Rattus norvegicus: one gene and its partners. The protein of the gene in region 1 interacts with the protein of each later gene in a biochemical or structural test. Links are inferred from orthologs where the notes say so. Each region holds a gene or a part of one and is shown in the gene's direction. Other genes may lie near its edges.

Region 1 (7,929 bases):
ACAAACAATAAGCTAGCTGGGTGGCACCAGGACCGGGAATTACGATTCCGACTATGCTGGGTCTAAATTTGCCCTATCCCAGGATGACCTTGAACTCAGGAATCTACCTGCATTTGTATCTGCCTGTCTTTGTATCTTTCTCACAAGCCGGCTCATAGTGTAGCTGCCTCTATCCCTTTAGATCTCTGAAGCTCCTTATACAAATCATATTGCATCCTTATATTTTTGCATAGTTGAGACATTATATATTTTCAAGCTCATGTATTTAGAGTTCTTTTTCACAGTCTTAAGGGCTGCCTTGAAGGTCCCAGTGTTTACCATTCTACTAAGACATTAGCCACACCTTCACCTCCCTCATGCTGTCTCTGAGTATCATGGAGTCATTGATGTCAACAGGGAGAACATTTCTCAGAGGAACTTGAAAATATGTGCATTATTATTCAAACAAGCCTGATGCCCACAGCAGCCATGGATACTCATGGAGGCTCAAACCCTGCTGACCCTGTCCCAGGGGCAGCAGCCATGTCGTTCCACCCCTACTAAAGCCATGCAGGACTCTGCAAAGACAGCAGATAAAAGCTCTCCCTACTTCTCCTCCTCACCCACAGTGAACACTGCTTTCTACAATGTTAGTGCTTTGAGAGATGAGTTAACAATGTTTGTGTTTTGGATGTGTGAGGAATGAGAGAAAAACAAACAATTCTCACTCACATAGTATAACTTGTAAGTTCAGCAAGTCTTCACGTCCAGCCTAATATCCTATAAGAGATTTTAGAGAAATTTAAACAATGTGTCATAGTCATACTCCTCTAATGCATTCTGTACATGCTGAGACACAGCTATTAATCTGTGCTGAAAATGGCCCTGTCTTTGATGGCAGGTATTTTTAAATATTTTCCTCTATTTTTCACACACCTAGAATCTTTTAGGATCCTTCAAGCAAACCAAAACCAGGTGGAAAATAGGGGGCTTTTAAACATCCTATCCCAAGACAAGTGCCTATGGGCCCAGAAATAGTTGAGATTAGGTGTTGGCTCTCATGCGAGCTTTCTATTAATAAAAGTTTGACAGTCCTAAGGCAACTACTTGGATGCCTTGGCAAGAAAAAAAAACTATGCCAACAAGAGAACTGGTAAAAGCTAGCAGAACCCATTTAGAGTCGAGTTGAGCAGCACTTGAGCAGAGACTTGCTTTGCTTGGATTTCAAAGAGTTCTCTGCCGTCAACTTCACGGTCCCCATGCCTCTCCTGGGGCACTGGGTGTCTGAGGCCAGAAACCGACAGCAACCGAAGGGAAGGGGCAAGCTCAAAGGAGGTCTCTTGATAAGGGGCTCACCATTGGCTGTGGACAAGACAGCCCCTGTCTCAAGAGGAACACTGGGTGTCTCAGCTCTTCCTCCTGACCCAGCTTCTTCACCTTGAGACACTTCTCCAGCAGAGTGATGTTCCAACCTCAGCATCCTCAAGCTGTAATATAAGACACATAGAGCACATATCTTACACAAACTTCCTTTCTCATTTTTTTGTTTTCTTCCTGTTTTTTTTGTTTTGTTTTGTTTTTTAACTTTTTAAGACAAGGTTCCATGTAAGCTAGGGTGACCTGAAACACACCCTGTGGCCGAGTATGATCTTGAATACTTGACCCTCCTGCCGCCAGCCTCCTGAGTTTCAGGGGGGTGGGGGGTGGCCACATGTGTGCATCACCATGCCTGGTTTATACAGTGCTGAGGACCAAACCTAGTGCTCCACGTATGTTGTTGTAAAAATATAAAAAATTAAAAAGGTATGGTTTCTTTTACCCCGTTAAGTCCAGCACCACAGTGCCCCAAGATATCTGCTAAATATCTTGTCAGAAACACATCCCAACTCCACGGCGACCCAGTGTCTCCTGCCACCGCACACTTTCCTATGCTCAAACTGTCACATAAAAGAACACACAACACAATAATCTTTGACCCAATTGGTAAGATATAACTGCCCACCTAAACACACAAAGCCCAGTACCATCCATCCCTTAAGAACATTGATAACAACCTGTAATGGTACAGAGTGGAATCTTAACGTCGCCCACCATATTGTCCTGCCACAGCTTCTCTCTCTCCCTCTCCTCTCCTCTCCTTTCCGTTCCAGTCTCCTCCTCTTCCTTCAAACTTCTCTCCCATCCTTCCTTCCGTCTCCTCCAATGACAGGCCTCTTTCTATCCTGTACCTGCCCCTCACCTGTATTCTACAAATTCAATGGGGAGAAGGTTCTGGTGAAGTCACCTGAGTCCTGAGTTCGAGACTAAGCAGCTGTCCTTGGGGCAGTGGAATTAGCATCAAAATACAGATCACTCCAGGGCAAACCACGCGAATGCTAAGCAAGCACTCGACCAGCTGAGCCCTCTGAGTACCACTAAGGAACATATTCTCTATTAAAAGTAGTATAAGGTCCCCACTCCTGTTGATAAATTTTGTTGAGCCAAGTAACATAGAATAAATATGTAAAAAAATAAATAGATATGAAAATAAATAGATACATGTGTTATATACCATTACTAAATTTTTAATATGAATTCAAAATCATGAGTTTATTATCGTTATATTTTTTAAATGAAGAATCAGCAGTCCATAAAACATGTACGATTTGTGTCTAAATGCATGGCGGGAAAGAAGAGAAACGCAGATGTGCAAATGGGATTTGTTCCATCTCTCCAGAGTGTCCCACTCAGGAGTCGCCTCCCCTGCTGTCTGGTTGTTTGCTCTGGTTCAGTCTCTCTACCCTTGTTGCTCAGGGTTGTTTCCTACAAGAGTTGTTTCTGGAATGACACATTGGCATTGTGAACAAGGGGTGTTTGTTACAAACCCACATGGTCTGTGTCCTTTGTCCCCACAGGAGGATGTATGCACATGAAGTGTCCTCAGCCCCAGTGCAAGCTGGAGTGGTGTTGGAACTGCGGCTGTGAGTGGAACCGAGCCTGCATGGGTGATCACTGGTTTGACGTGTAGAGAGGGATGTCACTTGGCAATGGCCGCACGACCTCATGGGAAACACCTCAGACTCCTACCTTTGTTAGCCATTTCTTCTTCTCTGTGCATATAAGCGCGCGCACGCACACACACACACACACACACACACACACACACACACACACACACACACACACTCACACACACACACACTGCAGATTACAGAAGCAGTCTCTAGGTCCTTTCCAGGGTACCCACAGAAAACTGCAGCACCTGCTGGCCCCAACGGGAGGAGGCACTTTGAGCCTCTGACTCATGCATATGTCAGAGCTGGGATGAGAGTTGGCACCCTTGTTTTGAATTCTCATCCTAGCGAGAATTTGGGTTCTCATGGCCGGGAGTTTTCCAGACTTAACCTCCTGCCTTCTGCTTCACTAAATCCATGTAGAAGCCACGGGTGAGGTGGGAAGTGCTTTCCAAGGCTGTTGCCACGCCCTGAGTGAGTTATACTTCTGTGGATTCTCAGACGCACACTGGAGATCTGAGGAATGCTGTTCTTACGTAGCAATCATCTATTCCCAGAGGGCCCTCGGCACTAGCCAAAAATATTTGTTTATTCCCCCAAATCCTATCATTGTAAATGGTGCTGATGAGATTACAAGCCCACTGTATACTAATCAGCTTATCAGCCAAGTGAGAGCCTAGGAAAGTTAATTGGAACACAGACTGTTTAAATCACAGGGAGGGCACAGTAGCCAGACCTACTTCCATTCGTTTAATTATCTACAACTTTAGAAAGAAATGATTTATTTCCCTGAAAATAGTACAAAGTTTGAAGTATTCCTATTGCAGCCTGGAAGTTGAACTCATGCCTCTGGCTTCACCGTGAACTTAGCAGGAAAAGTGCCTGTCAAGGGGGCATTTTTAGAGACAATCCCATGATGCTGTTCTAACAGGGTCAAGCAACAGATGTTTAGCAACAGGGTCAAGAAACAGAATGTTTACAAAAGGAACATTTCTAGACCATCTACATGAGAACATGCCTGACCCCTCCGCCAGAAGTGGGGACACCTCTGCATATCTGCTCCCTCCTTAGCTGTTAAGCCCCAGGGAGCCCCATGCACCCAGTGTGCACCCAGTGGTCTTACAGATGGCCAGTTGCACAGGTCAATAAACACACACTGGAATAGCCTTTGGATAAATATACATCACACTCGAATGTTAATCTTTCAAGGTTTTCTTTTCTTTTTCCTGTTTTTTTTTTAATTTGTTTTGCTTTTGCATTTTTTGGGTGTCGAGGGGCTACCAGACCTGAGTCCTGGCGCTAAAAATCATACAGAAATGGTGGGATTGGTATCTTGTTGTGTGAGGAAAGGCCAGCTGGCCTAAGTTCACACTTGTGGTCCAGTGGCCCAAGATTCATCCCAGCCAGATCCTAAATGAATGTCATACATGTAGCCAAAAAAAAAAAATCTGTCATGTAGCACTCAGGAATCTGATGTCACCCATCACTACTTCTTTTGCCTGCCTCTGCCTCCTGCCACACCCATATGCCGTACTGGCATGGGGAAGCCAGGACAATGTTTGCTGTTCTGTTTTGGGTAAAGGGACTCACTGAAGCTCCATGGCTCTCTGGTATGGTCCCTTTTCCTTTCTTGAGATTGCATATGTTTTCTTCAGAATACAACAGTGATTCTTAAAATAACTCAAATGAAAGACACCCATAGTGTGCGAGCATGAATCACAGCCTGCACTGTGTGAGCATGAATAGTGGGATAAAAAGTGGATGTCAAAAGAGTGGAAATCAAACCTCTGAAAAGCTCTTTCTCTCTGTGAAATGTGTTAAGAAATACCTGAAGTCTGTGTCTGTGGTGGTACCCAGACTGTCAATCAATAAGTACCCAGACTGTCAATCAATAAGTACCCAGACTGTCAATAAAAGAATCCGAAGAGTGTTTGAGTCTATCCTTGGGGATGCATTTCTGATAAATTTTGGAGATGTGGGAGGGAACTTTGGCCACATTCCTCTGTGACCTCTCATATGTTTTTATAGAAGGAGCATGTCTAGACCACCTCAAAGAGAACTTGGAAACATCGCCCACTGGGGGGAATGGCCTCTTTTCTATCCATGATTAACTTTGGGGTTCTGTTCTCTTAACTATCAAAGTTTCAAATCAAGCTCTCATTCTGAAACCTAACAGTTACTTTCTTGCCTTGCTCACAGACTTGCCCAGATAAGTGTTGACAAAAGAAACTGGAGATGGAGAGTCTGGAGAGATGACCAGGAGGTTAAGAGCACTTACTGCTTTTGCAGAGGACCTGAGTTCAGCTCCCAAGCACCCAGCCAGTAGCTTGCAACTACCCATAACTCCCATTCAAGGGAATCTGATTCCCTCTTCTGATCTCCACAGGCTCCTTCAGGCACATGGTGCACATATATGTACTTGGGCAGGTGGGTTCAGGAGCGCACATGTGCGTGTGTGCACGCATGCGCGCGCGCACACACACACACACACACATGCATACATGATAGGTAGATAGATAGATAGACAGACAGACATATAGATATTTTGAAGAAATACAGGAAGAAGTTTGGATGCAGGGAGATGGCCTAATCCAGTAATGTGGTCACAATAAGAGTATAAGGACAGGGACTGGAGAGATGGCTCAGTGGTTACGAGCACTGACTGCTCTTCCAGAGGTCCTGAGCTCAAATCCCAGCAACCACATGGTAGCTCACAACTATCTGTAATAAGATCTGTTGCCCTCTTCTGGTGTGTCTGAAGACAGCGACCATGTACTTATATATAATAAAAAAATTTTTTTAAAAAAAGAGAGTCTTCTAGAACCCCCCCCCCAAAAAGAGACAGACATCTTAATACACACCTTCAATCCTGGCACTGTGAGACAGAGATGGGGGATCCCGGGGCTCACTGACCAGCATCACTGACTTGATGAACACCAGGTTCCGTGAGAGACCGTGCCTCAAAAACAAAACAACAAAAAAGAAAAGAGAGAGACGGGTAGACAGGCAAATAGACAGACAGACAGAGTGAGCTTAGAGTACAATAGAAAACTCATCATCAACCTCTGGCCTCCTCATGCATGTGCATCCACGCATCGTGCACATCAAAACTAACGCATCAAGATTGTGTTGTGGTGACCTCATGCTGCTCTGTGTGTTTACTGGGCACATTTCCTCGTTGTTGTTGGCAAAAGCAACTTAAGGAAGGAAGCATTCATTTTGGTTCACTGTTCGAAGAGTGATGGCTGTGGGATGATGTCATCATGCAGGAATAGGCAGGTACAAGATAGAACGAGGCCTGTCATTGGACAAGAAGGAAGGATGGGTAGGGGGAAAAAGTTTGAGGGAAGACAAGAAGACAGGAATGGAAAGGTCAAGGGAGGAGAAGAAGGCGAAGAAGCCACCTAGAGAGAACATGGAGGCTGATGTTAAGATTCCACACTGTATCTTTACAGGTTGTTATGACTGTTCTTAAGGGATGGATGTGTACAGGGCTTGGTATGTTTAGGTGGGCAAGTATATCTTACCAATTGGATCAGAGGTTATTGTGTTGTGTGTTCTTTCTTGTGTTGAATTAGAGTATGTGGTGGCTGGGACACTAAGCCACCACGGAATTGGGATGCGTGCTTCTGGCAAGATATCTTCCAGATATCTTGGGGCACTGCAGTACTGGACCTAGCGGGGTAAAAGACAGCCCCAAATTTCATTTTACAACAACAGATGGTTGACAATGATGACAGTCAACTGTACAGGACTTAGTACCACCTAGGCTCGTCCCTGTCAGTACGATTCTAGATCGGGTTAAGGGAGAAGAGGCACCTAATTGTGGGCAGAACCTTCCGTGGCCAGAGAAAGTGAGCTGAATTCTTGGTTCTGAATTTCAAATGCAAGAATGACTCAGATGACACTTTAGAAGAGATGCTTTGTAGTATCAAGTTACTTAGTGAAGTTTATACCTAAGTTGTTCTTTTATTATAAAAATAATTGTTGTGTTTTTGTGTTCGTCATATTTAATTCTTTTTCATCTTATTTTTACTTAGTGCCAGGCCAATGACAGGGTTCAGTGGTTAGAGGTGCTTGCCACCAAACCTGATAACCTGAATTCAATCCCAAGAACCCACATGGTGAAAGAAGAGAACTGACTCCCAAAAGTTATCCCGTGACCTCCACACATACACCATGGGACACATACACAAAATTAATTTTTGAAATGCAAGTTACTTATTCGATGAGAATGCCCCCAGATTTCATCATGATGTCCCTATATCACATGTGAGGATCGACCCATGATTCTTTTTAAACATCTAGATCCAATGTAACTATCTAAACATAACACAGTGTGGATCTAGAAACTGTTGTGGAACAAGGAAATTGGTTTACAATAGGACTGGAGCTGGAGCTCAATAGAACAGCACCTGCCTAGCACGCACAGGGCCTGAGGTCCCTTCCCAGCACCACACACCAAGAGGAAACAAAGGACCAAACAAGTTTACAATGGAACCTAACAGGAAAGGCATTTACAAAAGCGCTGGCTCGCAGATTGCCACTGTGGAGGAAGAAGGAGAAAGAAGACAGAGAAAACAGGAGGTCTGTTTTCAACCCAAGCATGATGAAGAAACTCCCAAGGTCTTGGAAATGGTATTTTTAAAACTTATTTAATATTAGCTATTAATATGACCTGGCCAGCCACCCAATAATCGAGAGAGAGTCCTATGGATTTTTCAAAATCATTTTTCAAAATTGTGTGTGTGTCCAGCACAATTACTGGACAAATTACCCCTAATCTATTTTTTTTATATGCTGGACCGTTAATTCCCCAGCTCTGCTCTGAAGGACTTGAAGTTTGAGACTCAATCAGGATATGATTGCTCCATCAGCCTCAGGGTGAAGGGCATTTTACTCAGCCGTGTGTTCCTGGTCCATCACATCTAATGGAGACCTCCTGTTTTCTCTGTCT
Region 2 (7,593 bases), on another chromosome or scaffold:
ACACACACGTGTGCGCACACACACACACACACACACACACACACACAGAGAGAGAGAGAGAGAGAGAGAGAGAGAGAGAGACTGACTCAAAGGCCTTTACTACAAGGCTGAATATTTTATTAAAACATGAACTTAAAAATAGAAAAACCTCTTTCTGTTTGATCACTTGAGGTAGTTTGATCCGATCCTCACAGACCGATAAAGATATATCACAAAAATCGGACCAAATCATAGAGCAGGCAGATGTTTAATTGTAATAATTGAGCGAGCAATTATATGGCAGCTCTTTGGCAGATGATCTACAGTGGAACGCACTTCTTCACTAATTATTTTCAGTAGCTAACTCTGAGTATAAAAATGTGCTCAGTGCTGAGGACCCAAATGTGAATAATGGGAGCTTGTCGTCATTGCCACAGGAACTGACAGTTGAATGGTAGGGATAAGAAATGGACAAGAGGCAAAAATATGGTCACTAAGAGGAGCACAGCAGATAGCATGGCGAGCATAGGTAGGGGCTATGGTGAGAGAGGTAAATGGTCTCTTGGCTGTGGCTAGCTCAGGCACTCTTTCAGAACTCCACACAACAGGCGGTTTTATTAGGAACTGGACTACCAGAGACTGGATGTCGGTAATGAGCAATCAGAAAGATGAGGCATTAGCTGGTTCATTTGGCTAAAAAGAAGTCAACGTGATGCTGAGGAAGCTGTCGTTCTTGCCATCCAATCTAAAAATCTAACAGCTGTTTGAACTGAACTACTTCATTACTGCCACACTTTGGTGTATCCATTTGTGGTCGGGATTTGGCACGGATTTGCAGAGGAGAAGCAAACCAGCAAACAGTCCAAACAAAAGCAAACACGAGGTCTATGTGGGAAAGTGTATACAAGCCTAGATTTAAATCACAGCGTAAAAACAATCACATGGAAACAATGGTAAGTATGTAATCAAAAACATATTGGGAACAGAAAAAAAAGTAACAAAAGAACTATAAAAAATAAAATAGGGGAAATAACTGATGAAACATCACAAAGATTTCTGCCTTGTGCTGCTGCATGCTGGTTGCTGAGGCCAGGAAACCCTCTTCACCCCAGGCAATCCATTTTTGGTACATACAACAAAATCCAGCCTCTCACTGAATCATGTAAACACTTGGATCAGTACAAGAACTGTAGGGTGTCCAGGGCAACCAGAAGGGGGATACCTATCTTTCAACATTTATTGACTTCAATAAATTCAAATCTGAATCTTTTCCCCCCCAAAGGATTCAGTGAAGTCAAGAAGGCAGGCATCGACGTTTCTACTCTGTCTAGCTCCACGTCAGAGAGAAAACACCCATTCTATCCATATCTACTGGATCGAAGCAAGATGTGCTTTCCTCAGAGTTTACACCAGGAAAAAAGAAGTTTTATTCTAACCAGATGTGAGAAAATTAAAACCAATATTCTAAAGTATTTTTAGTGGCGTATGATGTCATCCGATTTCATATTTTCTACCAGAGGATATGTATTTTTAAAAATTGTGAAGCCACTTTCCGTGCAGTACTTAGCCATGATAAGTTACAGTAAACACATGGCAGAGTTGTGTGATCATATGCTTCGCTCTTTAGTCAAAACCTGGGGAAGACATCTAAGAGTAGGGAAGAGGATTAAATCATATGGAGCTGTCTTCTGATCACGTCCAAGGATGTCATTTCTAGGGGTGACATTTATGGCAGGCCTTAGAGGTAGGAACCCAGTTGTGTGCAGGACAAGGATTACTCTGATTATCTTTAATCCTAAAATAGACATATGTGTCTCCTAAGAATGACTTCCAGCTTCACTCTTAATCACTCACAGAAACCTAGCTTTAAAACACCCAGGCCCTTCTCTCTTACTGGCAGTGTCTTTTCTGTGACACGCTGGCACGCATCCCACTGCCAGCACCTAGGTAGTACTGGGTTTCCCTGGATCTCAGAGCCCTTCTCACCTTTGAGAACTGGCTGAAAGAGGAGCAAGATGAACCCTAATTTGACGGGAACTCAGTCTTTCCTTCGCACTCTCATTTGGACAACCTCAAGCAAGCGGCCATGTCCTGGAACAAGAATGTAACCCACGATGGCTTTCCTTTAACACTCTTCAAATCCTTTCCCAATCCTGGAACAGAAATTTGTCCAAAGCTATTTAAAGCTTTCCAAGAGGGCAACAGAGAGCCAAGGTTGCTATGGGTGCTTCTGTTCTTCCTGTATTTTGTTTCAGAAATAGGAAAGAGGTGCTCACCCTCCGCTGCAGGCATTACTGTGCGTCCTCCATAAGGTGTGCTAGGAGTAAAGTTACTATCATCACAGGGTCCAGGGTACACGGCTGAATTAACCAACTGTCATTTCAGACCCAAATCTCTAGCGCCACCCACCCAGGAGCACAAAACATTCTGGGTTAAAAAAACAAACAAAAAAAAAACAAAAAAGAAAAAACAAAAAATAAAAACAAACAAACAAACAAATAAACAAAAACAAAACAAAACAAAAAACCCAACCCTGCCCCTTTACTCCTTGGCTAAGTCTTCCAGGGTGGGCGAGACTTGGAGAGGGGAACGTTGGGGGTTGAAGACGCAGTGCCAAGGCATAGCACTCTCGCCAAAACGCTCCTCAGACAAGACAGTTTCCCAGGACCGTGTCCACCTTCCTTTTCTCATTTCCCGGTTTTATGCTGGAACCTTGGAATGGTTTGGGGACCAATGAGGTGGCAGCGGTTGATTCATGGATCGTGGTGAGGGGAGATATCATTTCCAAGGAGGAAAGAGCGCGCGGGGGACGGAGGGTGGGGGGGGGGGGAGGAGAGGCAGCAAAGCCAGAGGGGAGGCGGGGGAAGAAAGTGGGAAGAGGGGGCCAAAAGTGGGAGGGGAGGAGGGAAGAGAGCCTGCGGGAAAGAGCCAAGGCGGCGGAGGTGAACGCGCGAGGTAAGCAGAAGCAGCAGGTTCGCTGGTCCGGGATACTGGGGGAAGGCGGCTGCTAGCGAGGGGCGTGGGCTGGGCTGTGGATCAAGGGGACGGTCGCTGTCGGTCCTGCCTGGTGGTCGCGTCCCTGATCTCAACGTCCCGCTGCCCCGGGTGTCCCCGCCCGCGCGCGCCCGTTGGGGGGCCCGGGGTGCGGCGCCGGCCGCCGGGCCGCATTGTGACGTAGCGGGGCCGCGGCAGCGCCTCCGCCGCCCGCCGGGGTCTCCTGCGCCCGCCGCTCTCGCCGTCTGTCCGTCCATCCCTCCCGCCGCCCTTCCCGCTCCGGTGAGTCCAGGTCCTCCCGCAGACGCCGCAGGGAAGAGAGGGACGCGAGCAGGCGAGGCTGAGCCCGTGCAACTTTGCACCGGGCGACACCCTGCGGGTTCTCGGGACCCCGGGGGGCCCCCTTTGTGCCTCAGGTCCCTTCTGCCCGGAGCCGCGCGGTGCCGCTGCAGAGAGCCACAAGAGGGGATCGCTGTGGTAACCCAGGCAGCTTCACCCCGGGGAACCCAAGTCACTCCCGCCTCCCAGTCCTAGGCTCTGGTGCAGGGGGATGGTTCTTTTCATTGGCCCTTGCGCTAGCTGGCGTTCTGCTTGCTGCTACCTCGGATCGTCCCGGAGGCGGGGATGGGCTGTGCCGAGGCTCCTAAGAGCTCCCAGGGAGGGGCAAAGGCTTGGTGATAGCTACACTAGTAACCAGAACAATAACAAACGTGAAGGGGATGCCGGGTGGTGTCGCTACCCGAAGGGAGCCCCTGGCCCATCAGCCCCGCGGCGCCTAGGCTGCCCCGTCCAGCTTCAGCTCCTCCTCCCGGCGCTGTCCGGCGTCCCGGGATTATCCACGTCCTGGGGAAGGCTTCTTTCCTGACCCTCTCAGTGGCGGTGACTTTCCTTTGCAGGTGGTAAGTGGGGATGAAGCCAACGTTGGCTATTGTCAAATGCCACGTTTTGTTTATTTCATTTTTTTTTTTTACGAAAAGAAAGGGGGAAATATTCTGAGCCAGTTCTGGCAGCCATACAGTTTCCACAGGAAATACTAGCATTCTTTGAGGAACACGCTACTGCTTGCAGCAAAGAAAGTCTTCAGGAGACAAAAAGGCAACTGCATTGTTGCTCATTTCCAACTAGCCGCTAGGAGGGTGGAAACGTTGTTTTTTCCTGCGAGAACATTGCTTTCCTTGGGAAAGTTAATTACGGCAGCATTGCTGTCTGTGCCCTTTTTTTTTTTTTCACTTGCTTGAGGTGGGGCGCCGCTCCTCATGGTTGTTACTGACAGTGTCCATCAAAGAGCCCCTAGGAAGAAAGAGCGGCGCAACACAGTCTCGCCACACACCACGTGCTGTGGAGCCCTGCCAGGGTACAGTTTGCAAAATGAAATAAGGACTATCTGGGGAGGTTTATGGGGATTACATTTGCACAGACGTCAGTTCTCCGAGGTGTCAACTCTAAACACGTTATGGTCAGGCATCATTTCGGCGCTGAATCTGCAAGCAGGCAAAAACCTCTTTCTCGTTATGAAGCAGACATCTCCGTTGGGAATACGTTCAAATCTGTACTTCGTTTGTACATACTGAAAAATTCAAAAGTCAAGAGAGCAAGATGTAGGAAGGCCCCGTATGCTAATGTGTGCACACCTGGGAGGCAGTGTCTGATTCTGATGTGACTGGATATTAAATTACTTCCTGCATAGCAAAATGCTGGGAGACACCTTTAAACTGTCCTTTCAACTAATAGAAGAATGCGTGACATTTGGGGACTGATCACAGAGGTCTCTTTCTAAAGGAGCATTAGCTAGGTATTGTCTCTAATCAAATAACATGCGTTTCCAGGTCTAGAATCAGAAAGCAAATGATGGTGCTTCTCTTAAGGGTCATAGAACATCACTAATGTTAGTAATGCCGTTAAAGGGGAGGTTTATAAAGAGGTTTTATCATTTTGAATGTAACTGTTATTGTCCCTAAGCGGTTTGTGAAGAGAGTTTACAGGACAGTACATCTGAAATGGGGATTCCATTCATTAATTCGATATGTTCTGTTTGTCCATGTCTGAAAGGAAGTGACTAAAGCCCGTGGATTGCTGAGTGCCACGTCACAGCTTTGCTGAGTCCAAACAGCTGTTCAGTGCAGGTGTACAGTGCAAACAGAGAATAGAAGCCAAAACCATCGCCAGCATTGTTGTTTGGGAAGGACTTGGAGACACTTCACTGTGCTTAGGAGGGAAACCCACAGAAAACATCTGAAACATACAAATGCTCTTTGATACTATCAGAGAGAGCCTGGAGCCATGTTTCTTGCCAGATTTAACTTGTTTCTTGTGAAAAGAAGAAATCTCCCAAGTAGCAGGTGCATCATTAGAAGCAGCACAAGGGACTTTCTCTTTTAAATGCAAAATCTAATTGAAGAGCCACAAGAGGATCGGTGACACTCTTAGAGAAAAAGTCTGTTTTTTGGCAAGCTTTCAGGTTACAGATGCAAATCCCATAGGAGAACTATGGGTCTTCCGAGACAAATAATATGTGGTGAAAATCAAATAGTTGCTTCTGTGAAACAGAGACCTGTATATACTTGTTTACTTTTGCTCTTTGACTTATATGCAAATTCACTTGCAGAGTAACATTCCCTGAAATGAATACATAATTTGGTCTCTTAGCTATAAACTGCATTATTTTCTAGTTAGATAACAGACTTCATATTTTATGCTTGGCAACTTAATTCTTCTATTAAACCTCTAAAATTAATGATCAAAGCTGGACCTAGTGACAGGTAGAGGTCAGGAGGACAGCTACAAGGTCAAGGGTCATCTGGTATCCTTAGTGATTTTCAAGACAGCTTGTCTCAAGGAAAAAAAAAAGATCTGAATCAAAATTAAAGGACCAAAAGAGTAATTGCTCATTGATGGCTGAACATATTCAAAAGTCTGACTTGACTCTTAGTTATTGTGTGTGTGTGAATATGTAGAATATAAAAGTATAGACTGCATGGGCCAGAGAGATGGCTTATGGGTTAAGAGTACCCTTGTCAGGTGACTTCCAACTTCTCCAACTCCAGCTACTGAATATTCCAGGGCCCTCTTCTGGCTTCAGTGCTTGCACACATGTGGAATCCACTCACTGAGATGCACGCACATAAAGAAAACAAAGTCTCTCTCTCTCTCTCTCTCTCTCTCTCTCTCTCTCTCACACACACACACACACACACACACACACACACACACACCACAACATACACACAGCATGATCTCTTCATACGGGAATTAAAATCAGAGAATAGGATACCTAAAATTTTAAATAATGCTGCAGAACATGAAACAAGACATGTCAGAATTGAGTTCCCCCAAAACTAAATAATAACCATGAAAGAATTTGGAGAAAGTAAACATTTTATCAGTTACCGATTGACTTGTTATTAAGTCATTCTATAATGTAGTTGCTTAAAAGGGCTAAAGATCATGGTTCTTTTGGTGAGCAGTTTGGACTGGGCTCTGCTAATCCAATGAAGGTTCCTGTAGGTGACATCGTCACTCAGCTGAGAGGAGGACCTTGGGTCTAGGATAGCCTTGACTACTTGTCTGGCTGTTGTCAGGCTATTATCCAAGTGCATGGGTGGACTAGGAGAGGAAGCTCTCTTTAGCAGGCTAGCCTGGGTCTCCTCACTCAGTACCCAATCTCTATTCAGAGAACAATGGAAGGAGTAGCAAAGGAGTAACCACACAGCAGAAGCAAGTGTTGAGTGCCTGATCATGTCATGTTAGCTATTTTGCCACTGGCTTATCAAATTCTAAGGTCACCCCAGATTTGAAGGGGTTTAGAAAGGAAACACCTGAGATGGGAGGGAATTACAAAAATAGTTTTGTTTTGTTTTTTTAAATACACCTATGAGACCTTTGAGAACACTTTATTATAGAGGGAGCATTCTGCTGAGAACAAAGTCATGAAATACGGAAACGTTGATCTTGAGTGCTTACGGACCGCTGGGCACGTAAGATGAGAAGTGCCCACTGCTCCGTGTTCTGGGAGACTCCGGATTTAGGATTAGGTGACTGATAATAGAGGTGGTGAAAGCAGAGAGTCAAAATCACCCTGAGATTTAAAAGAGTTTAAGTGACTGACAGAGGATTGTGCGCTTATGAGACATGGGGACATTAGTAAGTGATTTATGTGGGGGGAGAGAAAAACTCAATCCCAGAAAGGCTTATTAGAGGAGGCAGAGTGAAGGCAAAATTGTTATAAGCTACAGAGCACACAGTATTAGCTATTGCTTATGTTTGTATCTCACTGACTACTGTGTATAGAAAAGTTTCTTAGGGTAAAGAAGGCACCAGAAAACCAACTATGATATCCCCGGTTACCTTAAGAGGTTAAACGGAAGTTAGAAGGACTTGTTCAGGAGGGAAATAACGATTCAAGGTATGTGGAGCAATGTTCCTTATTTAGGTTGAGCCTAGCAGGCCCCTTTGGCCTAGCCGGGGCAGCATGAATGTTCCTGAACCAGGGGCACTGCTTATCAGCCTGCCCAAGGTGGCTTGACATAGGATGTGTATCCTCAAGAGCACGGCCAGTTACACTGGAGGTAGACAAGGGTGGTACAGATGCCCACTGCTGAGGAATGCTTGAAAACTGAGTCG
Region 3 (7,606 bases), on another chromosome or scaffold:
AAGAGCAAGCTGGCGACCCCAGGTGAGCCCAGCGCCTGTCCGCGTACCCGCGTGCGCCTTTGTCCCCGCCGCCCGCCCGCCTCTCACCGTCTGTCTCCGTCTCTCCCCTGCCCGCCGGCCCGGACCCTCCCGGACCCGCCCGGACCCGGACCACGACCCGGATCATGCAGAGGACAAACAGGTACCGGCGCTGCGCCGCTCGGCCGGTGGTGAGACCGGACCGGCTGTCACCCATTGTGGTACCGATGCTGCTGGCGCCCAGGCGTGACCCCGCCCCCGCCGGCCGTCACCCAGCCCTTTGGCGTTAATCGATTGTCTGTAGGGGCAGCGCCGCCGCTCCTGGGGCTACGGAGGGGAAGAGTAGGCACCGCGCTTGGTTCCCTGACCTGTATAGCAGGGGCCTAGGCACCACCCCAGAAAGCGAGGCTGGGATGAGGGCCTCTCTCCTCTAGTCCAGGGACAGCATCTCCTTCTTAACCTGACCGGAAGGCCTCGTGTTTGGGGGTCCTGGGTGAGGCTTTAGTTACGAAAGACCAGGAACGGGGAGAGGGGAAGGGGTCTACCACCCTGAGGAATCCACAGGGGCCTCTGCTTACTCCTCTCCATGCTCATGCACCTTTGTGTCTCTTTCCTGAACCCAAATTTATCCTCGCTAGTCTTTGGCAGAGGCTTTTCCAAGACCTGGAACTTCCAAGGCTCCCCATCTGAGTCATCCTTAGGAACTCAGCACTAGCCCTCCAATCCTCGGGTACAGCCAGGCTTGTGGCCTTCCAAAGGACTAGCCTGATCCCCACCCCCGTGAAAGTGCCAGGCTACTGTGAAACTGGCCTGGGTAACCTGTGAACATCCAAAGGAGGGTTGTGAAACCAGAGTGCTGCGGAAGTGAGTGACCGAGGGGGATGTCCTGTGTGCCTCGAGCTAGGCCCCGTTTGAAGATAGGGGAAAAGGCCAGATTCTGACACCAGAAGGCTTTGGCAAGCCTCCCTGGGGATGCACGTTCACACCTAGCATTAGACCCCAGAGTACTAGACCAGAGCAGTACTAGATCAGGCAGAGCAAAAGCAGCTGGCTGATGGGATGAGCTGGAGAAGTCAGTCTCCCGGCAGGGACAGGCCCCGCCCAAGACTGATGAGGCTTGCCGGGAGGGGCTCTCCCAGGAGCCTTCCTAGAGAACCGCCTCCCCATCCTCAGTAAGCCAGACAAAGCCGATGGGGACACAGCTGCCTGGCTATTGTGTGAGGGAGGGGGCCAGAGGCTGGGAAGGCAGGGACCTAGGCTTCTCCTGGGCCCTGAAGGTCTTCCACATCACCTGGCCTGGGTCCTTGCTTAACATCATCCACGTTCTCCTGTCTGTTGCTGCTAGAATGGAGACCCCTCCCCTTCCTTCAGGCCTGCATCTGCCCATCCTCAGGCCAGTCAGGAGCCAGCCTTACACCACCCCTTATCCCCAGGCCAGAAGGAAGAGAACACTGGGTCAGGGCAGGTGGAGGGAGCCCCAGGAAAGCGCTAGAGTTCTGGTGTCCAAGCTGGGACCCTGTGGGCCTGGGGGAGCAGCTCATAATACCTTGGTTCCCAATATGGCTGCACAGAGCTGGGCTTAGCCAGGCCTCTTTCTGACGCTAAATGGGGGAGGGGATTAGAGCAGCAGTCTGTGTAGAAGAAGGTGTCTGTTTGTCTGCCCTTTGCATCCGTACCTCTTCTTGGGCAGTGATTAGGGCTTGGTTGCTTGTGCTTCAGAGCCTAGTCATAATTCTAAGGATTGAAAGCTTCAATGGTCTCATTCTCGGGTAGAGGTGGGTAGAGCTGCGTATGGCTTCATATCCCTGAGGAATATTTGTAGAGCCTCCAGGACTAGAAAAAGGGAGTGCAAGGCCCCTCCATTAGGGCTTCCCCAGGGACTAGACAGGCTATGGTGGCCTGCTTGGGTGATACTCAGACAGGCTGTTTGACTGGGACTTCCCCTAAACATGTGCCTTTCCAATGAACAAGTTGAAAGGTAGTCTAAGACCTACAGGGTCTGTTCAGCACCAGGGCTTGACCCAGCTGAGGCCCCTGTGTGGTCTTCCAGAGGTGCCCTACCTAGGCTGGAGATACCAACCTGTCCAGGTGGATGCTGGGCTGACAGCTGTGCTTAGAGTGATTGGGTTAGGGGTGGTGGGTTGCAACCCAGTCTAAAGACTTCTGTTAGGTTAGGCAGGTCAGACAGAAACCAGCAAGAACTGGGAGGCTTCTTCTCAGCCCTGGGAAGAATGGCTCTCCTGTTGTAACTGTGGGGCTCAGGCTCCTCCCCAGGTGTTAGTCGCCCTCAGGGGGACCCCCTAGCAAGACCCAGGGTGGAGGCCCCTCCAAGAAGCCAAGAAGGTGAGGCTTCATGGAGGAAGGGTGGTACCTGCATAGGGGAGGGAGGCCTTCTGGTCCTTTGCCCAGTCTGCACAGTGACTTGTCTAGTTTCTTGCACCCAGGGGCTGGAGCTCTGATTCTGGTGGGGTTGGAAGTGAGGAGTAAGGAAAAGTTTGGTGGCTCACAGCCAATGGCTTCCCAATTCATCAGAACCCTGTGGTTCCTTAAACATCTGGTACCTAAAGTGATGGCATGCTGTGGGCAGAAGTTTTGCCTAGCTGTGGGCTGGCCAGAGCTTCCAAGCTCTGAAGGAGGCCAGTCATCTGAACTCTGGCCACTGCATCCTTCACACCCTTTTGTTTGTTTTTAGAGATAAAGTCTCTTTTTGTTTTTTCCTTTTTTTTTTCCTTTTCCTCCCCCCTCCCCTCCCCCCGGAGCTGGGGACGGAACCCAGGGCCTTGTGCTTGCTAGGCAAGTGCTCTACCACTGAGCTAAATCCCCAACCCCATAAAGTCTCACTATGTAGCTAGCCCTGGCTGTCCTGGACCTTGCTACATAGACCATGCTGGCCTAAAACTCAGAGACATCCGCCTGCCTCTGCGTCTCAAGTTCTGGGATTATAGACCTGAGCCGCTCTGCTTGTTCCCCGGGTCCATGGCAAGGCTTAGTAAGGGAGGTGCACTCTGTCCTTAGCGCTTTAGAAGATACCAATAGGGAAAGAAGTCCCCCAATCACCAGTGCAAGCGCCCGTGGAGGGTGCGGTGTAGGAAAGAGTGAGCCCCAAGGAGCAGGGAGGGGTGTGTCTGTCGGCAGTTTGGTCACCAAGGCACGGTTCAGGTTTTCGGGTGAAGTGCTCGGAGAGCGAGGTGTTGGGTGTTGACTGGGGCCGCTTCCCCCGCGGCTGTGCGTGAGTCCGGAGCGTTCCTTAGCGCCCTCTGGTGGGCAGTAGCGGCGCGGCGTCCCGGAGGCAGTTCCGCGACCGCAGACACCTCGCCGGCCGCCTACGGACGGTCCGGACGCGGCCTCGGGTGCCACGGCTGCGCTCCGGATCCACGCGGCGCCCCCTCCCTCGCGCCTCTGCCGGGCCCTGCCCATGGCAGCCGTTTTCTCGAGGCTCCGCCTGCGGCCCAATTTCCAGGCGACCGTTTCCCGGCGACGACGGGCGGGGCGGTCCCCTCCGCTGCTGCCGTGGGCCCACGAAGCCCCGCCTCGGGCTCGCACTGGAGCGCCTGCTGAGCCTCGACGCGGCCACGGCTCGCGGCTCCCGGGCAAAGGCAAGGGAATGGCTCGCAAGACTTCTGAGGTCAGCGGCCTACCGGGTGGGCGACGCTCCCCCTCCGGGCTTCAGTTCTCGCGTCTTCAAAACCTGAGGCAGAAGAGGGCTTAAGAGCAAATTTACCCAGCGCGAGTCGCTCGAGATCGCTGGCCTCGACTGGCCTGACCCTGGTGTAGGGTCGGAACGAGGCCGTCAGGGTCTGCGGGGTCGCCGCGATGGACTCACTGGCAGCACCCCAGGACCGCCTGGTGGAGCAGCTGCTGTCGCCGCGCACCCAGGCCCAGAGGCGGCTCAAGGTGTGTGTGTCTGTGTGTGTGCGTGGAAAGAGAGGGTGGAATCTGGGTCATGTGTGCAGTCTTGCTTGGCCAAGACCCTCTGGCTACTGCTGTAGGTGGCAGGGGCTCCTGGGGCAGATGTCCACTAGGGATAAGTGCAGGCAGCGCAGACCCTTTGGTGTGGGAGGCTCAGTACCGCAGTCTATAAATAGCCCTCGCTCCGATGCTGCTTCAGGAACCACCACCCCCAGGCTTGGATCTGGGCCAGACAAGCCACCCACCCTTGGGTATTCCGGGGATGAGTTTGTGCTGAGGTCTGGCTATTTCCACCGATAGAGGTCCTTGAATGTGTCTGAGAGGTCTCAGTGGGTCCCAACACCCACCTCAGGGGATGCCCTGTGGGGCTGACATTATTCCTCATTCCCCACCCAAGTCTTGGGTTTCTGCTGAGGGTGGGGTGGGGGGGCCTTTCCCTGCCACTTCCTCCACTACCTTCCGGCCTCTGCCCTTCAGCCCTCACCCCATTTTTTTTGTTGTTGTTGATGAAATGCCCCTAGCTAGGGGCTATGTTTTCTGCTCCTCTGAGCAACATAAAAGATAAGGCTTCCACTGAAGATCTAGGATATGCCACTGATCTGCCCCAACCACCCCCGCCCTCAGGACATCGACAAGCAGTACGTTGGCTTCGCTACACTGCCCAACCAGGTGCACCGCAAGTCAGTCAAGAAGGGTTTCGACTTCACACTCATGGTAGCCGGTGAGTGGCCAAACTTCTAGGTAGAGCCCATGAGGCCGTGGGTCAGACCATCTCAGCCCCAATCTAATCCAGCTCTATCACTGTTCCTATGGCCAGGTGAGTCCGGCCTGGGGAAGTCTACCCTTGTCCACAGTCTCTTCCTGACTGACCTGTACAAGGACCGGAAACTGCTGAGTGCTGAGGGTGAGTAGTCTTCATATAGCCCTCACCAATCTGCTCCCTCCGAGGGAAGGGTCCCCATTGGTGGTGAGGAGGAGTGGCCCAGAACACACAGTCAGACAGAGACTGAGGCCGGGACACCAGGGTGGGTAAGGACGAGGCTCCTTGCTGCCCAGAGAAAAAGGTGGAGCTGTCCTGCAAACACTCCCTCTCCTTCCTCTGCAGAACGCATCAACCAGACAGTAGAGATCCTGAAACACACTGTTGACATCGAGGAGAAGGGAGTCAAGCTGAAGCTCACCATCGTGGACACGCCCGGCTTTGGGGATGCAGTGAACAACTTCGAGTGGTGAGGACAGCTCTGAACAGGTCCCCCTGCCCCGACTGCCTGCCGCCACCTAGCCGGCAGCTGCCAGAGCCAGCTCCCTTCTCCCTCTAGCTGGAAGCCCATCACTGACTATGTAGACCAGCAGTTTGAACAGTATTTCCGTGATGAAAGCGGCCTCAACCGCAAGAACATCCAGGACAACCGGGTGCACTGCTGCCTCTACTTCATCTCCCCCTTCGGACATGGGTGTGTGGCCGTCAGGTGCCCTGGATCGGGTGGATGTTCCCACCACTGCATCACTGCCCCTCCCCCAACAGTGCCTCTCCTACCCCCTCTGCAGATTGAGGCCAGTGGACGTAGGCTTCATGAAGGCGCTGCACGAGAAGGTGAACATCGTTCCACTCATCGCCAAAGCCGACTGCCTGGTTCCCAGTGAGATCCGGAAGCTGAAGGACAGGGTGAGTCTCCTACAGCCCAAGGGGCCTGGCCAAAACCTCCAGGGGAGCGGGCCAGTGCCAAGCGAAAGCTCTCTCCTGCTGCAGATACGAGAGGAGATCGACAAGTTTGGGATCCACGTGTACCAGTTTCCAGAATGTGACTCAGATGAAGATGAAGACTTCAAGCAGCAGGACCGGGAACTGAAGGTGAGCGCGTAGCCAGGAGGCGTGGGGGGCAAGGAGGTAGCTGGGGCAGGGCATTGGAGGCCACACGGCCCTGGGGGAGGGCTGAGCACCCAGGTGCACACCATGAGAGCAGGAATCGGTACCATTCTGACCTGCTTTCCAAGAATCAGCCCAGTAGCCCAGAGATGTGTCAAGCTCTAGTACCCAAGATGGTGGCCTTGGATACCCCAGAGGCCAGAGAGGTTATGACAGAGAGCTAAGCCCGGAACTGGGGCCATTGGGCCAGAAGTAGATGGGCAAAGCCATCTACCAGTAAGCATGGTCTTGACTCTGATGGTGGAGGGAGTCCCAGGAAGCATCCAGTGTCAGAGAAGTGCACAGCCTGGCAGATGCCCCAAGGCTTTGAGCTATTTAGGCTTTGTGACTTCAGTGGGTAGCAAAGACACCAGAAGAGGGGCCATGCCATGGGAGGGGAAGGTGCCAGTGCCGGAATGGCCTGAGCCTCTGAGCCAGCTGCTCTTACAGACTAGGCTGGGCTGGGTCCTTGCTCCCTTCCCCAGGAAAGTGCTCCCTTCGCCGTTATCGGCAGCAACACTGTGGTGGAGGCCAAGGGGCAGCGGGTCCGGGGGCGACTGTACCCCTGGGGGATCGTCGAAGGTGAGACAGAGGCAGGAGGCACTGGGTGAGGGGTGGGAGGCTCCCGTAGGCTGACACCTACTCACTGCCGGCTTCTGCCCGCAGTGGAGAATCAGGCGCACTGCGATTTCGTGAAGCTACGCAACATGCTGATCCGCACGCACATGCACGACCTCAAAGACGTGACGTGCGATGTGCACTATGAGAACTACCGTGCTCACTGCATCCAGCAGATGACCAGGTGGGCCACCCTCACCAGAGCCGACTCTCCCACCCCAGCCTGGTGCCACAGAAGGCCTCCCTGTCCTGAACTTTAGTTCCAGTCCCTAAATCAGCCCAGCAGTCTTGACATTGGTAGGAGTGGGCCAGGCATCTCCCACCCTCCTAACCCGAACCTCCCAACAAGCACGGCCCTCTCGTTCCACAGCAAACTCACGCAGGACAGCCGCATGGAGAGCCCCATCCCTATCCTCCCACTGCCCACACCAGATTCGGAGACCGAGAAGCTCATCAGGATGAAGGATGAAGAGGTGGGTGGAAATCAGGAGTGGGGCCAAGACTGCCAAAGGGCGGGGAGGAGAAGCAGAGGGCAGGGCTAGACCTCGACTGTCTTTTCTCACTCTGACTTGGGTCGCCCCCACCACCAGCTGAGGCGCATGCAGGAGATGTTGCAGAAGATGAAGCAGCAAATGCAGGACCAGTGACAGCCGCCCCGGTCCACATCGCCAAGGATAGACAGCCAGTTTCCAGGCTGGCCCCTCCTACCCCTGGATCCTAGACTGTCCTGGATTCCACCCTGGGTTTATCTGGATCTCAGAAGGCCTGGACCTAACCCTAATCCAAAGTGGCTTTGACCAGACTATTCAGACCTAGAGCCACAGAGCCACAGCCCCCAGATGACCCTAATTTATTCTCAGCATCCACCCTTCCCGGTCATTTATTTGTATCTGAACCACAGTCCCTCCTCAACTCATGCCCCATCCCACCCCACACCTCCCCGCCTGTCTTAAGGGAACAAGTTGTGCATAACCTCCAAGATCTCCCTTCCAAGAAGATCGCTGCCCGCAGCGGGCCAATAAACCAGGGTAGAGGAGGGACGTGGATGCAGAATCTTGGGCCTGTTACCCAAGCTAGTGCCGCTGATGGAGTTGGGAGGCCCTGCTCTGCTGGTTACAGTGGGCTATGAAACATATGCTAATGTCCTACTGAGCG
Region 4 (7,771 bases), on another chromosome or scaffold:
CACATATATACATATACATATACATATATATATATATATATATATATATATATATATATATATAATCATGCATATAAATGGGTAACAGTGAAAACCTGGTCACAGATAGGACAAAATACTGGCAAGCACAAGAAAACATGGAATATATCAAGAATCCTAATGACCTAAAATGGATGAAATGATACGGCTGTTGTCTTAGTCAGGGTTTCTATTCCTGCACAAACATCACAACCAAGAAGCAAGTTGGAGAGGAAAGGAGTTATTCAGCTCACACTTCCACATTGCTGTTCATCACCAAAGGAAGTCAGGACTGGAACTCAAGCAGGGTAGGAAGCAGGAGCTGATGCAGAGGCAGAGGCATGATGGTATGGCTTGCTTCTCCTGGCTCGCTCAGCTTGCTTTCTTATAAAACCCAGGACTACCAGTCCAGGGATAGCACCACCCACAATGGGCCCTCCCACCCACAACGGGCCCTCCCACCTTTGATCACTAATTCAGAAAATGCCTTACAGCTGGATCTTATGGAGGCATTTTCTCAATAAAAGAAAAGTTGGCGAGATTTATATTTTCGAAAAGACACTGCCAATGCCATGAACTGGACATATTAAGGTGGAATCAATTCATAGTTCTGGGGACGGGACTACACAAGAGTCCATATGGTTTGAACTTAGCAGTGGCAATATAACAAGGGGAGAGGGTGTGGGAGACAGATACACAGTATATAGACTGAAGGGAAGAACAAAGTGTAACAGTTACAGGAAGGGAATCACAAGTGAGTCTCCAGCTTTAGTGCTATCACCTAAATTGTGTCATCTCCAAAGTTTACAGGTTGAAAGGTGTATTAATATTAAGAGGATATGAATGTGTCCTGGTCATAAGAGTAGAGCTTTCCTCTAGAAGAGAACCACATGCTCTTAACCATGGAGTCATCTTTCCAACCCTTTGGTTACCTTTTAAATAAGTGTGTCCTTATAAAGGAGGCTGAAGGGAGCTTGTCCTCTTCACGCTTCTGCCACATGAAGACATGCAAAAGGCACAGTAATAATAATAATAAAAAAGCCTCCCAAGACATTGGTCTGCTCTAGCCTTCACCTTGGACACCCTAGTCTCCATAAATGAGCAGTAAATCTCTGATAGTAATTTACCCAGTGCAGACATTTATAGCAGCCCAGCTTCATTTACTCACTTGAACAATTATATCTTTAAAAAAAAACACTAGAAAACATAGTTTTCATTTTCTTATTAGGAGGCTGTATTTTCCTGGTTAAGCCACAATTCCTTAAGCACATGGGCTATTCCCATGTTGTGTGACACTGTTCCTGGGGAACTGTGAACAAACATCTACTCAGAGAACTGATAACAGGCCAAAGTAAGGATACCATTAAAGTCCAATTTGGTGAACCAATTGAGTCTTATTGAGATTACTTACAGGAACAGAAATGACACCAAAACCCACTCCAGCATGACAACAGCCCACAAAAGCTGGAAACATGGATCACACTACACAACTTGCAGGTAGCTCTTCAGGGTGGAGTGTCCCTTACAGGTAGCTTGGCTGGTCTCTGCTTCTTCTAGGCAACTCTGCTTGTTGGAGAGTGTCTCTCAATAGTCCTACTGTTTATATATGCTTGGGGAAGGAGGAGCCTAGTGAATCTTGTCGGTTTCAGGGACTTCCAGAAGTCTCATACTTGTTTACTTTCTGAGCTTAAGATGCCCTTCTGTAAGACTGACTGTTTTTCCTGTCCTTAGAATATTCTATGATCTCACTAGCTTCGTTACAAGGTGGACTTCATCTCCCTTTAGAATATTCTGTGTGGTAAGGAGTTTCCCTCCAATATGGACAGTTCTATTTCTTGTTTTATCCCCAGAGGAAATTGCATACAAAATATTCAACAATATGGCACCCCTTTGATTAGCTAGCTGGTCTTTACTGGCAGTCTTCAGTTTCTTGCCTCTCACTTCCTTTGTTTTCTTGAACTTGTCTCACAAAAATGATCTCAACATAAAACTGAGCGGTCTCATGAGTCTTTATGCCCCTGGACTTCCTGGCAGCATGTAACACTGGCTGGGCCTTGCAGTTCAGTATGTTCATTAGCATTTGCACCCTTCTTGCCTACTGCTCTATCTTCAGGGCTTAGTTCTTGATCCTCTTTTCAATCTCTTGCTTTTCTCTAAGATTATGTTCAGTCTTGATGATTTTAGTTACCTTGTGTTTTACATTTTTTCTTTATATTTTATGTGTATAAGTGCTTGCCTGCCTGCATGTATGTGTGTCACCGTACCTACTAGGTATGTTGCAGAAGCATCAGATCCCCTGAATCTGGAGATACCAAATTCTGTGAGCCTCTATGTGGGTTCTGAGAATCAAACCCAGGTCCTCTACAAGAGAAGTGGCAAATGCTCTTAACCTCATAGCCAGTTACCTTCTAAATTGCAATGAATCTCACCTCACAGCTCAAAACAGCTTCTGTAAACTCCAGGCCAGACATCTATTACTCACAAAAGTACCTTATGTTGCACAGACATTTAAACTCATTATTCCCCAAATTAAACCCTTGTCTTCCCTTCCCAAGACCCTGCTCATTCTGCACAGTATTTCTGGTTGGAGTATTACTCCTTCTTTAGGTGGTACCTACAGCAGACACCCACAAATCTTTCCTAACAATAACCCCTTTCACCCCAGTTCCTCACCAAAGTCTTCTGAGTCTGCTTCCTGAAACTTCAAATTGGTCTCTCTCCATTCTCAAATCACTACTGGAGTTCTGACCACCATTGTCTCCTCATTTCTCCCAAAATGCCTTTCAAGTATTCTGTTCCCCAGTGATCTTCTAAAATTCTAATTTGACCCCATGTCTCTAGTTTTGAAAATCTGTAACCTCCTGTAGGTTTTTTGTTTGTTTTGTTTTGTTTTTGGTTGGGAGGTGGCGGGCAGGATCGTCCTAGAAACCCTGGTTACAGGCTGCCACAGTCCAACACAACATACTCCTCCTACCTTCAGGTGCAAGGATTAGGAGAATGAGTCTTTGTACCCAGTTTCTTTGCTGACTTTGAAGAACCTAAAATGGTTCCACCACACAAGATCCGCGCCCAAATAACACTTAATCTTTGTCAATCCCTCCCCCACCCCCGGCGCGAGCCACTCAACATTTTACTGGACTTTTCACTTCCCCATCGACGCTTCCTCCTTCAGATATTGTACATTTATCCTGGGACCTGATACTCATTCCGACAGGCAACTGTGTTGGACACTGTGCTATTCTAATTTCTTAGTGCCTACATTTCTTCATTTGTATAATAATATTACAACATACACACACATCAAAAATGCCGCATTAAATCGCACTTAGAAGTGGACTATTATAAGTCAGCCCTAACTAAATACTAGCTATAGTTTTCACACAAATACTAGGTATTGGGAGAATGCCTTTTTTGGAATGAGGTTTTCAGTGGGAGAGGAGGTATTACACGTAGTTGAGCAGAAAGTACCAAAAAAGGTGGAAATGGAGAAAAAAAAAAGAACCTAAAACCTGGCTGCGAGGATTCTCATCTAGAACCCTAGAATCACAACATTGTCTAGCGTAGAGAAGTTCCTCCGCACAGCAGGCGGCGCCGCAGCATCACACACGCGGCGGGAGGACCAGCGCCGCCCAGGTCACGTGTCCCGTGCTCCCCGGCTCGCGTGCCGCGTGACGTGCGCCCGCAGTAGTGATTGGGTGGCGGGAGGCACGTGGGTAGGGCGGGGCGGGCCGGGGCGGAGGGGTGGGGCCGGGGGCGGAGCTGCTGGAGGGGGCTGCTCCGCGCCGGGGCCGTTGGCTCCAGACAAATAAACATGGAGTCCATCTTCCACGAGAAAGTGAGTGTGGGCGTTCGGTGGGGAGCCGTCCGCGGCTCGGCGGCGGGCGTGGGGAGCAGCGTCGCCGCTTCAGGAACTCAGGCGGGGCCCGAGCGCCCCCATCCCGACTTGGCTGGGTGAGGGGTGCTTCCTGCCTTCCCCCCATGGCACCGTTCATGAAGCCTCCCGCATGCGTCTCCGGCACCCTCACCCTAAAAGACCGGGCGGGTAACCTGGGCATTTCGGGGGGCTTCATCCGGAGGATTAGCGCGGGCGTTTCTTGTTCACTTGCCACGCCTTTTCGGGTTTCTTCTATCTTCTCTCCTGTGGTCTAGTCTAGCGAGACGCCTTTCCACACCTGACGGACCCTTCCCAACTCCACCCACTCCCCCTGACCTATCCTCTGGCAGAACCAACTTTCTCTCTCAACTCAGTTCTATGATGGAATGTCCCATGCATTTAGATCTTGGTGATCTATCCCACGTCCTTCTGCAGTTGTGACCGTGGCTCTCCCATTGAAGGGCCTGACACTTGGGAAGTAAAGTAGGAAATCCCGGAGGGAAGTCGTCATAAGAGTTTTTATTACGGGATGTTTGGGCTGCTCTCCCATTTTTCCGGACCAGGAGGCCAGCTTTGTTTTTAGGTATTATGGATAGATTAGAATCTTTCTACTGTGTGATTTGGCTAGTCTCTTCCTCACCTTAATTCCTAAGTGACTACGCTTTACAGTATTGTGACATCTCGAGAAACTGGTCTATGCTCGCATACAATTATCAAGTCATTTGGGTGTTCCTCGGACAACTTTGGCATGATTCCGTGTTTCATAATCATTTTAGGTTTGGAGAGGGTTGCTAGTTGAGACTATTATTACAGTTGGAGCAAAGGCCTTTGTTTTTATCATTTGTAAAGGAGCATTCATTCACAACGTTTAAAGTCCATGCACGACAAAAGAAAGACAAAAATGCTGTAAATCTAAGGAAGTTGTTAAATGAAAGTGTTCTTAAGAAGACCTTTCATAGTGTTTTTGGAACTGGAACAAGTTAGTTTGTGACAAGATTTCTTGTAGCCCAAGCTGGCCCCAAACTCTCCATCCTACTGTCTCTGCCTCCTGAGTGCTGGCTGGGATTATGACCATGTGCCCTGACTCTGAGTGCGCCACCCCCTCCCCCACTCTTTTGTAATTTTCCAAAGGCTTTGGGATAAAGTCCATTTTAAACATGTTATACTCTTTGGGATAAAATCCATTTTAAACATGTTATACTTTATACACTGTTTTGTGAGACTCCTGCCATGTATTCTTAAAAGAAAAATGCATGTGCTTGTGTGGAGGTCAAGGATGACTTGATAAAGTCTGTCCTCTCTTTCCAACTTGGTGTGGATTCCAGGTGTCTGAGGCTTTGGCAGCAAGCTCCTTTACTCTCTGGGTCATCTTTAGGGTGAATGAAGGAAGAAATGGAAAGGACATGACTTCTAGGTATGGTGAAGGAGAAAGTTTATTAAAGAGATGTGGGAGAGCATAGCCTGGGGCAGACACATTTGGGAGACCCCAGAGTTGTCATGACCCTGAACCACATGGGGAGAGGGAAAGGAAATACAGCAGCCAGGAGCCAAAGGTGCAGAAGTATACCAAAGAGGTTGGGTTACCAAAATACATGAATTACATAGGCAAGGACCACTAGGGGAAGGGCAGCTAGGCCATGGTCTGGAGAGTTCAGGGTAGAGAGTAGGTATACCAGCTATACCCTGGTATAAGTAGGGACTAAGGGATGCTGGGAGAACCTGGAGTTCAGGTCCGCTTTGATATGTTAAATAGGTACCTCTGCCACCTACCATCCTGGGATTGAAGCTCAGCATAGGGCTCTTAAACAATACACTAAAAAATATGTATTTTTTTGCTGGCAGGGGTGGTAGGCCTTTAACCTCACACTTGGAAGGTAGAGGCAGGGGAATCTCTAGTGAGTTCAAGGCCAGCCTAGTCTACAGAGAGAGTTTTAGAACAGCCAGCTCTATACAGAGAAACTGTCATGGAAAACAAACAAAAAAATTGTATTGGTGTTTACTGTTGTGTATGTCTGTGCACTGTGTGTCTGTTGCCCACTAAAGCCAGAAGATTCCCTGGAACTGGAGTAACAGGCTTGTGAGTAGCTGTGTGGGTGTTAGGAGTTGAACCGAGGTCATCTGGAAAGCCAGCCTGTACTCTTAACTGCTGAGCCACCTCTCCATCTCCCTCAATACCTTCTTTTTTTTTTTTTTTCTTTTTCTTTTTCTTTTTTCTTTTTTTTTTTGGAGCTGGGGACCGAACCAGGGCCATGCACTTGCTAGGCAAGCACTCTACCACTGAGCTAAATCCCCAACCCCCCTCAATACCTTCTTGACAATATTGATTGTTCCTCATTTGAGCAGATTTCAGTGAAGGTAACTACTGAATCAGTATATCCAAAATGCTAGGCTAACAAAGACTTACTCAGGCCAAGGATATGCCTCACCTGAATAGTGCTTGCTGTGTAAGCATGAAAACCAGAGTTCAGATCCCAGTGTGTGTTTGTATCCCCAGTACTTGAGGCAGGGAACCGAGCCAGGTGGGTTTCTGGTTGCTGACCAGCCAGTCTAGCTGAAATCAGTGAGTTCTAGGCTCAGTGAAAGACTATCTCACAAAATAAGGTGGAGCGCAACTGAGGAAGGCATTTGACTTGGACCTTTGGCACACGTATGTATATCTGTGTGTACACATAGACATGAGAACACATATACAAACACGCATGTGCAGATACATACATCTGCTTACCCAGAAGTCATTCATATCAGCAGGTGTATATACTTCATAAATACTTGAGAAATACCTTTACTTCTGTGTGTGTGTGTGTATGTATGTATGTATGTATGTATGTATGTATGTATGTGTATGGAGATGCACATGTCCATATGCATTTAGAGGCAGGAGGACAACCTTGGTGGTGTTACTTATAAGTAGGCTAACTTATGACCTCCATGTATCTGCCCATTTTCACCTCTCTAGCACTGTAGTTACAAATGGGTACCACTATGCATGACTTTTTAAATGAGGTCTGGGGATTAAACTCAGATCCTAAGGCTAGCATGGCAAGTACCTTTCTGACTGAGGCATCTCCCCAATCCTGGAGAGTACATCTGCCTTTATCATCAACTGAAATATTTGTAGCAAGTGAATGCTTAATGAAGTCGGAACATATTTCAAGAGAATGCTCCTGTAACTGGGTTATTAATCATGGAAGAGGCCATACTGGGAATATTTAGCACAACTGCTATTTTCCAGAGACTTCTTTTCCCTTCCATAATTTGCCTTTAACCAGGAAGTTAACTAGAGAAGACATCAACCACTTCCTCTTGGAATTAATTTTACTTAACCCCTTTGAGTACTATTAAGTTAGAGTAAAAAAGCAGTTATCAGCCAGGCGTGGTAACACATGCCTTTAATTCTAGCACTTAGGAGGCAGAGGCAAGCAGGCTTGCCCTTTGTGATTTTGTAGACAAGCTTGGAAGAGTGGAAGTGTAGTATGTTCATCTTCTGAGCCCAACATGGTAAAATACCGACTCCCAAATCGTAGCATGAATTAAGCATGAGTTTTATCTATCCCCAATAACACATGAACTGGGAACAATGAGATCAGTTTTTTTTAAGATGTAATTATTTTTATGTGTATGAGTGACTTCATGAATCAAAATGCACTGTGCACATACAGTGCCTGAGAAAGCCAGGAGAGGGTACCAGGTCCTTTAGGACTGCAATCATTAGCAGGTCGTTAATGCAGGAACCAAACCCAGGTCGTTTGTAAGAATATCAAGTGTTCTTAACTCCTGAGCCATTTCTCCAGCCTCCAAATCCCAATTTTTTTAAAAGATTTATTTTATGTATGTGAGTACACTGTAGCTGTCTTCAGACACACCAGAAGAGGGCATCAG

Evidence for each region.
Region 2: of the proteins of Prkn (region 1) and Sncaip, one has a biochemical effect on the other in vitro, tested with the Homo sapiens proteins (3 studies listed by BioGRID). The link is inferred for Rattus norvegicus from reciprocal best matches to the Homo sapiens genes PRKN and SNCAIP.
Region 3: of the proteins of Prkn (region 1) and Septin5, one has a biochemical effect on the other in vitro, tested with the Homo sapiens proteins (2 studies listed by BioGRID). The link is inferred for Rattus norvegicus from reciprocal best matches to the Homo sapiens genes PRKN and SEPTIN5.
Region 4: the proteins of Prkn (region 1) and Atxn3 form a complex in vitro, tested with the Homo sapiens proteins (4 studies listed by BioGRID and IntAct, with this or other methods). The link is inferred for Rattus norvegicus from reciprocal best matches to the Homo sapiens genes PRKN and ATXN3.

Annotation. Positions count from the first base shown.
Region 1 is NC_086019.1:51,233,383-51,241,311, reverse strand, and holds the end of Prkn (E3 ubiquitin-protein ligase parkin), read left to right. Parts: intron 1-2,873; coding exon 2,874-2,986; 3' UTR 2,987-4,902; downstream 4,903-7,929. UniProt on the Homo sapiens protein: Functions within a multiprotein E3 ubiquitin ligase complex, catalyzing the covalent attachment of ubiquitin moieties onto substrate proteins. Substrates include SYT11 and VDAC1.
Region 2 is NC_086036.1:48,401,927-48,409,519, forward strand, and holds the start of Sncaip (synphilin-1), read left to right. Parts: upstream 1-3,546; 5' UTR 3,547-3,872; intron 3,873-7,593. UniProt on the Homo sapiens protein: Isoform 2 inhibits the ubiquitin ligase activity of SIAH1 and inhibits proteasomal degradation of target proteins. Isoform 2 inhibits autoubiquitination and proteasomal degradation of SIAH1, and thereby increases cellular levels of SIAH.
Region 3 is NC_086029.1:95,874,387-95,881,992, forward strand, and holds the start of Septin5 (septin-5), read left to right. Parts: upstream 1-3,559; 5' UTR 3,560-3,831; coding exon 3,832-3,912; intron 3,913-4,551; coding exon 4,552-4,648; intron 4,649-4,744; coding exon 4,745-4,831; intron 4,832-5,032; coding exon 5,033-5,156; intron 5,157-5,246; coding exon 5,247-5,381; intron 5,382-5,475; coding exon 5,476-5,593; intron 5,594-5,677; coding exon 5,678-5,779; intron 5,780-6,318; coding exon 6,319-6,415; intron 6,416-6,499; coding exon 6,500-6,635; intron 6,636-6,821; coding exon 6,822-6,924; intron 6,925-7,041; coding exon 7,042-7,098; 3' UTR 7,099-7,606. UniProt on the Homo sapiens protein: Filament-forming cytoskeletal GTPase. May play a role in cytokinesis. May play a role in platelet secretion.
Region 4 is NC_086024.1:126,868,735-126,876,505, reverse strand, and holds the start of Atxn3 (ataxin-3), read left to right. Parts: upstream 1-3,724; 5' UTR 3,725-3,829; coding exon 3,830-3,853; exon of another isoform or gene 3,854-3,969; intron 3,970-4,003; exon of another isoform or gene 4,004-4,475; intron 4,476-4,502; exon of another isoform or gene 4,503-5,306; intron 5,307-7,771. UniProt on the Homo sapiens protein: Deubiquitinating enzyme involved in protein homeostasis maintenance, transcription, cytoskeleton regulation, myogenesis and degradation of misfolded chaperone substrates.